Caenorhabditis elegans: one gene and its partners. The protein of the gene in region 1 interacts with the protein of each later gene in a pairwise test. Each region holds a gene or a part of one and is shown in the gene's direction. Other genes may lie near its edges. The genes, in order: itr-1, cyc-2.1 and myo-2.

What was found.
Region 2: the proteins of itr-1 (region 1) and cyc-2.1 interact in a two-hybrid assay, tested with the Caenorhabditis elegans proteins (one study listed by BioGRID).
Region 3: the proteins of itr-1 (region 1) and myo-2 interact in a two-hybrid assay, tested with the Caenorhabditis elegans proteins (one study listed by BioGRID).

Annotation. Positions count from the first base shown.
Region 1 is NC_003282.8:7,673,019-7,676,776, forward strand, and holds the start of itr-1 (Inositol 1,4,5-trisphosphate receptor itr-1), read left to right. Parts: upstream 1-2,155; coding exon 2,156-2,234; intron 2,235-3,513; exon of another isoform or gene 3,514-3,663; intron 3,664-3,758. UniProt on the Caenorhabditis elegans protein: Receptor for inositol 1,4,5-trisphosphate, a second messenger that regulates intracellular calcium homeostasis.
Region 2 is NC_003282.8:4,747,357-4,750,560, reverse strand, and holds cyc-2.1 (Cytochrome c 2.1), read left to right. Parts: upstream 1-2,111; 5' UTR 2,112-2,119; coding exon 2,120-2,299; intron 2,300-2,350; coding exon 2,351-2,506; 3' UTR 2,507-2,657; downstream 2,658-3,204. Other genes in the region: Y17G9B.5 (Evolutionarily conserved signaling intermediate in Toll pathway, mitochondrial), read right to left, coding at 1-117, 162-315; rpl-18A (Large ribosomal subunit protein eL20), read left to right, coding at 792-998, 1,047-1,382; tctn-1 (Tectonic domain-containing protein), read left to right, coding at 2,729-2,909, 2,963-3,066.
Region 3 is NC_003284.9:12,466,056-12,469,813, forward strand, and holds the start of myo-2 (Myosin-2), read left to right. Parts: upstream 1-2,005; 5' UTR 2,006-2,093; coding exon 2,094-2,156; intron 2,157-2,266; coding exon 2,267-2,395; intron 2,396-2,451; coding exon 2,452-2,592; intron 2,593-2,641; coding exon 2,642-3,116; intron 3,117-3,171; coding exon 3,172-3,353; intron 3,354-3,401; coding exon 3,402-3,561; intron 3,562-3,758. Other genes in the region: cdf-2 (Cation efflux protein cytoplasmic domain-containing protein), read right to left, coding at 1-144, 192-401, 469-581, 688-722.

The DNA of each region.
Region 1 (3,758 bases):
ACCGCCACGGACACGCCGCCCACTTTTGCGGTGTGAGGTGCGAAACTGTCTTCCGACAGATTTGTAAATATTACGAGGAAGTTGATGTAATACGGAAGAGGTCCACTGGATTTATGTGAATGAAGAATCAAAAGATTGTAAAATGTTTAGATATGATGAGCTACAGGGTCAAAGGTGATTTGATACACGATTTTCGAGCAGAAATGCTGACTTTTCGAAATCTCATTGTTGTTTAATCAATCACGGGATGTACGAAAGGGATCTTGGTTTTGGATTTTTGAAAATCAAAATATTACAGGAAAATATAATGCAAAACTAGTACAGACTGTGAAAATGTTTCTAACCTTGATTTCTGCTCCGTCCAACTGTGAAATTACATTGTGTGTCAATTTCAAAAACGGTACGTGATTTTTTAGTTCTGGTTTTTAAGTGAACTTTATGTATATGAGCTCTGAAAACAGGAAAATAAGGGAAAATTAATAAGGTAGTCAGAATGAAATATTGCAATTCGAACATAAGCATTTAGTTTGAAACAACCCGTATTTCCCTTATTAGTTTTGTAGCTTCTAGTTTGTCATGCACTGATTTTCCGACAGACCGGCTATACTCTGTGGGAATTTCCGCAAAAATTAAATTTAAAATTAATAGATGAGATGTGGTATGTAGTTTTAAAAAAGTCGATGGATTCAGAAAATGCTCAGAAAAATCCGCGCATTAATTTCCAAAACTATCACATTTCAGAAAAGTATCAAACATCATATTTTTGGAGTCCAATACTACTTCTTCATTTCTTTTTTTTTTTTCTTTTCCACTAGTTTTACAATAAAATATATTGTTTTGTCCTAATGAAGCACATTTCATTTTGTAATGTTTTTTAACTTTCTACTGTAGGATATTCTATTCCGTAATCGTACAAATCTTCTTTCTCTCCCAAATTTAGGCTGCGCCCTGTTTCAAAGCTCTGCTAATAGTACGCAAAACAAATGTATTCGCTAACTCTTTCGCTCATTTCGGTATAAGTGTCACTTGGAGATCTCTTCGTCTCTCGCAACCCGTATTTGTATTGTTTATCTTCCAAAATGGTAGTCGACTGCTCATATGAATTGAATTACTAGCGGGATATGAAAGAGACATGAGATTTATAAAAAGTAACTGAATATTTCAACTTTTGAAATTGAACTTGTATCATTTTCGAAACTAAAATGGAAAAACAGGAACGATATTACTTCATTTTTCCACTTAAAGATGGAGTAGCAAAATTTGGGTGATTGTTTTTAGAATCAAAATTGATCCTAAATACCTATTGAGACAACTTGAAAATGTCTCAAAAATTATTGTATTAGGTTAGTCATTCTCTAAAAGAAAACGGGCAACCCTTCAAGTATTAAATCATTTTGAGCTTGAAAAGAGAGAACATTGTTCATTAAAATTCATGTTTGGGCTCCTAAATCTACAAAAAATATCACATTTATATTTTCGGCAATTCTGATTTCCTGTAATCGACAATTTCAGCGATTGCCGAAATCGTCGAAAAGTCGATTACCGAACGGCAATTGCTGCATGCTATGTATCACACCGTTTCAGCGTTGTGTATCGTATTTGTTCAAAGATAATTTTCTTGTAAATCTCGATGTTATTGACTACTGCAGCTAATACATTTGAATTCCCATTAATTCCTTTAATTTGATAAGTGTGACTTGGTTCCCGTTGCCCACCATCTTTTGTTCCTTTCCTCCTATCTTCAAATCAAACGCATCTGGAATCTATTTTTTTCATTGTTGTCTGTCTACCGATGCCAACGATCTGACCTTTCTTAATTGGTATTCGCGCTCATTTTGACATTGTGTCAACTTCAACTATTTGCGCGGGTTTACCTGCAAAAAAGTAAACAAGAAAAATGGAGATGAAATGAAAGAATTTCCAATAGAAATTTGTTGTTGAAAACTCTCTGAACCATGAGACCGTCCAAGACGTTAACATCAAATCTTTTCAATTCAGAAACGTTTCCTCTTTTTCTCCTTTTGTGACACGTTTCCTCCGTTCTTTTTTGGAGAGTCACTATATTTTTAATACGATTTTGCTTTACAATTTCTTTTTTAAACTTTTATTGATTTTGTGCTTCTTATTTTCCATTTTTCATAAAAAGTATTCCAGAATGAATCCATCATATGGCCGGGTTCGTAAGAAAGTATCCATTATATCTATTCCAGAGTTCGTTCCCGAGCATTATGAATGTAAGTTTTTACATTAAAAAAAAACTTCTAAAATCTGCTTCAATTAACGATCTTATTTTTTTTCAAATTTTCACCGATAAACTTAAATCTAATTGATACGGTTAGCATTGATGAAATCACTGAAAAATGTACAGGAAACTCAGAACTTTCTCAGTTTCAATGTTTCTTTTTAACCTTAAAGGTTGAGTAGCGAACTATATTTATTGTTCTCAAAATTCAAAACCAACGTCTAAATAGTCTCAAATTGAGCCTAACTTATTTGGCCAACGCCCCAGAAAAAAAACCAACAAGAAACACTTAATAAAACCACCAAAATGTGTAAAATGGAAGTTAAAATTACCGGGCGCCATTTCACAGGATATGTTTTGTTATTGTTCGTGTTAAAAGTTGGTCCATAAAGTAGATTTGAATATAAAGCCAAACTTTTGAGAACCGGTTTTGATTTTGACTATGATGAAAGAGTTTTGAATTAAAAATATTTAAAAAAAAAACACTTTTTTTCAATTCTTCTAGAAAAAGTGCATTTATTGACTCACCGTTAGAGCATATCGATAAAACAATAGACAAATACAATCATATGGGACATCAACCAGCAAAACACTTTAAAACACATTTTTGTTCCCGGAGGTCTCTATTTTTTCTTGTCTTTCAAAAGAAAAGGGGCACCTGTAAGCGGCTTACGTACCGTCTTGGTTGTCTATTGATGTATGTGAGGCATATACATCTATTTCATGAATGTTTCAACAAACAAAATATATACCGATTGTTGTGTCTCTTTCTCTAATATTTTCCTGGTAAACGATATGCATAAATTTCTGTTTCTCTTTCCTCTTTCCACACATCTGTTCGTATTATTTTACAAAATGAACTTACAGATGTTTTTTTGTTGTCTCGTTGGCATCGTAACTAATCGAAAATGATTGATGTTCGAACACGAATATCATTATATTTATTGTCGTCTTCATCTTTTTGTCGAATAGTTTGTATCGTTGATTTCTAACATTAGACGTCATCGAATCGTTCATCAAATTGTCGACCTGATCAATTTCTTTTTCTCTCTATTTCTCTTTACACAACTTCAATCTCTGAACTGTAAATTCCAAATTCGATTAAAAAGGCTAGAGAGTTTGATCGTTCTGGTTTGTGACTGAATTATTTGATGAAAGATCTAGTACGATTAATATGTTCATTATCAAAAGCTAGATGATCATTATTTGCCATTTTAATTCAAAAGAGGAATGATCCAGAGACAATGCATGAAGGAAATGATAATTAACTTGAAAATTATTTGGTATAAACGCCTTAACAGGTTGTGAAAAATTTAGGAAAATACCGAAATCGACAATCATAATAAAACACTCCACAATTTTTGATTTGGTGAAATTTTGTAAATTGTAGATTTTTCAGAAAGTTTGGACTTTTTGAGTAATTTCGAGCATTGCTACAGATGTGAACCTCTAGAATATTTGAATAAAAATAATTTCAATTTTCATGAAATTCAAAATTTTATAAAAATTGTTAACA
Region 2 (3,204 bases), 2.9 Mb from region 1:
CTTCAAGGAGTCCTTTATAAGTATCGATATCCTTATGAACCCCATATTCTTTGACATATTTTAGAGCTGTGTTGATAAATTCGACATGCGTTCGACCTCGTTTTTCCTTGAACGTGGCTGAAAACATAGATTAATCGTTGAAACTAGACAGATATCCAAACCTATCGCTGCCATGAATGCATCTTTATCTCTTTTCTCCGGTTCTATAGCTTCGAATTGCTTTTCAACATGTACTAAACTCGTCTCTTGATTCGCTGCAGCAAAGCATCGTATTTGATTGCTGATAACCCGTCGTGAAACATGTGCAAGAGCCATTAAAGTCTGAATATGTACAAATAAATTAATATTATAACTTTATAGTTAAAATAAAACATTTAAAATCACATTTCTATATCTTTTTAACAAAAAAATTGCTTAAAAATCTAAGGAGTAAGTGCGCTCCACCGCTCCCCGTAAATCGACGGCGAGTGTATGAAGGATACGGTAATAGAACACGCAACAAAACTAGCACTGCCGCATACACTTTTGTGCGTTGAAATTCATTTTGGGTTTTCCTGATCCTATTTTTTAGCTTTTTTCCGCTTTTCTTTTTCTGATTTTTACAAAAATTTAACAGTTTTTTCATAGTTTTTAAATATTGCAATATGCACTCATATTTTTTCGGTAATTCCCATCTACCTTTCCATTTTAAAAGAAAATTGTAACGTTATCCTAAAATTGTTTTTCGCTATTATATCAGATTGTTCATTCCCCATTCCTTGCATCATATTTTTGTTTTTCAGGGTTAAAACATGCCAACCAAGGCTCTTGGAGAGACTCTTAATGAGTACGTCGTCGTCGGACGCAAAATCCCAACAGAGAAGGAGCCAGTGACTCCAATCTGGAAGATGCAAATCTTCGCCACCAACCACGTCATCGCCAAGTCTCGTTTCTGGTACTTCGTCTCTATGCTCCGTCGTGTGAAGAAGGCCAACGGAGAGATCCTTTCGATCAAGCAGGTTTGTGGAAAATAATAATAATAACCCATTTTACAATAAAATTTTCAGGTGTTCGAGAAGAACCCAGGAACCGTCAAGAACTACGGAGTCTGGCTCAAGTACGATTCCCGTACCGGACACCACAACATGTACCGTGAGTACCGTGACACCACCGTTGCCGGAGCCGTCACCCAGTGCTACCGTGACATGGGAGCTCGTCATCGTGCCCAAGCTGACCGCATCCACATCCTCAAGGTCCAAACCGTCAAGGCCGAAGACACCAAGCGTGCCGGAATCAAGATGTTCCACGACGCCAAGATCAGATTCCCACTCCCACATCGCGTCACCAAGAGAAAGAACCTCAGCGTCTTCACAACCGCTCGCCAAAACACCCACTTCGCCTAAGTTGCGGATTATTGTTATTTGTTACAATAAATTGTTGCAAACAAATTTTTTTCTTAATTTTTCATTTTAAATTTGTGTGGTTTGAATCCTGTTTGTTCAGCTTGTTATTTGTTTACTGTTTTTATCTCGTGCGCAGCACTTGTTGATGTTATTAGATGATCATTGCAATGATCCATAAGGCATCGGACCGCCCAGCTGACTTGTGTGACTGGTAAATTTTGTCAATATTTTCAAATTTGTTCTTTTGCAATATAGATATCTGCTCTTCTATATTCAGTTCTTACGCTACTAGATCTGTAACTACATTCCTTAAAGTTCAATATCACTATTTCGATAAGGTAAATTAATTCTTAATAATTGAGATAAGTTGATAAAAATCTGGATAACTGTAGATTTTGTAAGTTGTAAGCGTTAGAAATGCGGTAAATCTCGTAGAAACTTTATTTTTTGTATTTTAAGGGCAAAACCTTTCAGATCATAGATAAAAAGTTCAACAGCGTCATTTTAGTATGTCCTCGCTGAATGATATTTCACCCAGACTCCCGAGAGCGACCGCCCGATTGTTCTATGGCCTTTCTGTGTCTCTGCGTCTCCTCGCCGCCCGAGAGATGGCACAACCCCCGTTTCTTTCTCGCTATTGCATCACGGGCGGTTCCCCAAGTGCTGCTGTGGCGGTTTCTTCCTGCTAGACTCTTTTAGTATATATTTCACTAATTTCTGTATTTTAAGGGTTCAACATGTCCGATATCCCAGCTGGAGATTACGAAAAGGGAAAGAAGGTGTACAAGCAGAGATGCTTGCAGTGCCACGTCGTTGACTCGACCGCCACAAAGACCGGACCAACCCTCCACGGAGTTATCGGACGTACATCAGGAACTGTGTCTGGATTCGACTATTCCGCTGCTAACAAGAACAAGGTACAACTAATAAATTATTTCTTAACGTTTATTATAAATTAAAAATTATAGGGAGTCGTCTGGACCCGCGAGACCCTCTTCGAGTACCTCCTCAACCCAAAGAAGTACATCCCAGGAACCAAGATGGTGTTCGCTGGACTCAAGAAGGCTGACGAGCGTGCAGATCTCATCAAGTACATCGAGGTTGAATCCGCCAAGTCCCTCTAAATATTCCCCTAAATGTTCTCGCCTAGCTACGGCAATTTTTCATAGTTAGGCACTTTCGATTGTTTTACTTTTATATATTGCACTAATTTTGTGTCATTCTCATTTTTAGTAGCAAGAATATACGTCAATTTGGAAAATAAATAATTTTCCTAAATTCGTTTTCCTTTTCCCCACAGTCGCATCACAGCAGGTGTACACTCTTCCGCTACCATAGCAACCAAAATGGGCACCAATGCACCAAGAAATCGGAACGAGCTTTTTGTCATGCATCTTCTTGGATTTATTTTTCTTTTAACTTATTGTTCGGCTGATACTCCAGAGGTTTGTTATCCGTCAGTTGTTCGGCACCGGATTGATTCGATATTTCCAACTTCTCGTTTGTTCTGCGTCTCCAAGCAAAATGGTGGGCTTTTTTTAGCTGAACGCGAACAAATTACGGAGCTTTTTTGAATTTAGATGATTTGGAATATGGTGACGTGGAAATTGTGAATGGCGAAGAGCAATGGAACGAATTTTCAAAATCTAGATGGCAGCAAGATGAATCTGATTCACAAGAAAATGTAACACAATTAAAGATCTACGCAGACGGAAAATTTTGCGCCAGAAATACTGTACCTGGTCTCGACACGCTTTTGTTTGTAAAACGCGAAAAGATAAATATGCGCCTTTAAAGGAGTTCTGTAATTTCAAATATTCGT
Region 3 (3,758 bases), on another chromosome or scaffold:
CAACCACTCCAAGAGCGGCTGTCAAAGCCATAATTCCTCCTTCTACTTCATAATCTCCGCTGACAATTCTCATAATTGCGAGAACAACTAATACTCCAGTGACTATCCAAATAAGGAAAACTGAGAAAAATGCTCCCAAAACTTCTGAAATTCATTTCAAACTATGTCGCTCAATTCTTCCAACTACCCACCGGCTCTATGAAACCCAAAGCTCATTTTTTGCGATGGTGGCCGTCTTGCAATGTACAGAGAAAACAGCGAAATGAGCACTGACGCAAAATCAGTGAGCAAGTGTGCGGCATCTGTGACAATTGCGAGTGAGCCCGCGAGAACACCACCAATAACTTCGCAAACCATAAAAAATAGGCAGAGCACGACGGTGAGCCATAAAATTCGCGTTGCTGAAACAAATAGTTTGAAGAAGGTTTCATTAGGACTCGAGTTTGGCAGAAATTTTAAAAGCAATACCTCTCCGATTGCTATCATGTGAATCTGTTGAGTCAGCTTCATCGTGGCAATGAAAGTTATCATAGGTGACTGTGGTTTTTCTACCTTCGTCTGTATTATAAATGTGAGGAACTCTGTAATACAAAAAGATCTCATGTTTTTTCTTTGGTAATACGTCATAGAAGCACAGGAAATCACAACTCTGATATAAACGAACATCAACTACATCACAAAACTAACCCATTTTCAAGTAGTGGTGCTCGTTCAGAAATCATTATGGATTATGGAGAAAAGGAAACCGATTAGGCCAATCGATTTTGTTTTGATAGAATTGAAGACGCAGAATAATTGTGTTGTGTATAGTGTACGAGAAAATGGAGCAACTTGTATATGGGCACTGTTATCATTATTGAATAGCGTGCGGAGGTTTAGAGAAGGAAGTTGTGTGTTATCAATCATAAACTAGAACATGTCTCGAGGCATTTGAATTGGGGGTGGTGGACAGTAACTGTCTGTAATAATAATTACTCCTGACCAGGTTGCAATTCGAGTTTTGATAAGCATAATTATACCTTGTACATTGTGGGTTTTGTGCTGTGGACGTTTTATTGTGACATCCCCATAAGCTACAAGAACAAAAATGAAATGTAAAAGTATTGAAAACGTCGTACATTTTATATCTGAGTAGTATCCTTTGCTTTAAATGTCCATAAAACTAATTTTATAATCAATAAAACAACGTTTGTAAATCAACTGAGTTTACAAGTAGAGACATTGAGGGATACTTTCACTATGCTAAAGTGATAATCGACCAAATAATAACTTCACTTTGGTATTTATTCCTGTCTTATAAATGTTATGTATGAATTAAATTCATATGCATATGGCTCACTCTGACAATTTTTAATAATCTTCCAGATCAATATTGACTACCGATGCGGGTGGTCTTTTGCTTTGAATTCTGCTGAACTTTACACCCCGAACAGCAATGTGTGCTTCAGCCTAAAAAAAAGTAAGTGTGTTAATCAGTGCCCCCGATTCTTCATTTTTTGCCCCTCTCTCCCGTTTCGTCGGCAAAAGAAGAGAAAATAAAGATAAGTCTCAAGATAGGTTGGTAATCGCTAAAGTGGTTGTGTGGATAAGAGTAGCAAAATGGCAGGAAGAGCACTTTGCGCGCACACACTGTACTCATTGTTCTGGATAAAATTCTCTCGTTGTTTGCCGTCGGATGTCTGCCTCTCTGCATTGAGCCGGCTTCTTCACTATCTTTAGTTAACCTAAAATGCCGTTTCTTTTCTCGTATCCCCACTATCCCGTTGAGGTTCTCTGCTCTCTTCGCTCCCTACCGCCAGCGAGCAACTATCCGTGGGGGCGCCTTGCTCGGAAGATGGGGGGGAAGAAAGAAGATTTTTGCTATTTGCACTTGAGAAAGAGACTTTTCCTGCGTCGATGGTTAGAGAACAGTGTGCAGACACTTTTCAGCTACCTAGAATTACAATTGGATATCCCCGCCTCCCAATCCACCCACCCAGGGAAAAAGAAGGGCTCGCCGAAAATCAAAGTTATCTCCAGGCTCGCGCATCCCACCGAGCGGTTGACTTCTCTCCACCACTTTTCATTTTAACCCTCGATCGTCAGACACAGAAATGGATTACGAAAACGACCCAGGATGGAAGTACCTTCGCCGCAGTCGCGAGGAGATGCTCCAGGTACTTTTATAAAGCATGGTTTTTTTGTCTAAAGAATGTTATAAGCTTGCTTAGTTTAAAAAAAAAAATCATCTTTATAAATTTTCACTTTTTTACTTCCATTTTTAAAGGATCAATCCCGCGCATATGACTCCAAGAAGAACGTCTGGATCCCAGATTCGGAAGACGGATACATTGAGGGTGTCATCACTAAAACCGCTGGAGATAATGTAACTGTGTCCATTGGACAGGGAGCCGAGGTAAGTGAATTTTAAAACCACTTATTTGTCAATTATTATGTTGCTTTTTTCTGTAGAAGACTGTCAAAAAGGATGTTGTCCAAGAGATGAATCCACCAAAATTCGAGAAAACCGAAGACATGTCTAACCTGACTTTCCTTAACGATGCTTCCGTATTGTACAACTTGAAAGCTCGTTATGCTGCTATGCTCATCTATGTAAGAACTTTGTTGTTATAGTTTTATGATTTAACATATTTTCTTTTAGACTTATTCGGGTCTTTTCTGTGTTGTCATCAACCCATACAAACGTCTCCCAATTTATACCGATTCCGTTGCCCGCATGTTCATGGGCAAGCGCCGTACCGAAATGCCACCTCACTTGTTCGCCGTCTCTGACGAAGCCTACAGAAACATGCTTCAAAACCACGAAAACCAGTCTATGCTCATTACCGGAGAATCTGGTGCAGGAAAGACTGAGAACACAAAAAAGGTTATCTCTTACTTTGCCGCTGTCGGTGCTGCTCAACAAGAGACCTTCGGAGCCAAGAAGGCCGCCACCGAAGAAGACAAGAACAAGAAGAAAGTCACACTTGAGGACCAGATTGTCCAAACCAATCCAGTTCTCGAGGCTTTCGGTAATGCCAAGACTGTCCGTAACAATAACTCCTCCCGTTTCGGAAAGTTCATCCGTATTCACTTCTCCAAGCAAGGACGTGTCGCTTCTTGCGATATTGAACATTGTAAGTTTGAAATCATTTCGAATGTTTGACCTGTATATATTTAAAAATTTTCCAGATCTTCTTGAAAAGTCACGTGTGATCCGTCAAGCTCCAGGAGAGCGTTGTTACCACATTTTCTACCAAGTCTTCTCCGATTACTTGCCAAACCTTAAAAAGGACCTCCTTCTTAACAAGCCAGTCAAGGACTACTGGTTCATCGCTCAAGCTGAGTTGATCATTGATGGTATCAATGACAAGGTAATACTGATCAAAACATGACGAAATGCAGATATTGTTTTCTTGTAGGAAGAGCATCAGTTGACCGATGAGGCCTTTGATATCCTCAAGTTTACCCCAACTGAAAAGATGGAGTGCTACCGATTGGTTGCCGCCATGATGCACATGGGTAACATGAAGTTCAAGCAACGTCCACGTGAAGAGCAGGCCGAGCCAGATGGCACAGATGGTAAGTTAGAAACGGGAAGCAGTAGATTTTTGGATTCTTGGAAACTTTCCTTCTATTTACTTAAGATCTCATGAGAGCGTGGGATGAGCGGGACAGGCATATAGAGTGGATTTAGCGGCGGGGTTTAAAGTTTACCTACTCATCCCCATCGACTCTTCACTTTTTGCCTATGACAATGATTTTAAAAAAATGTTTCA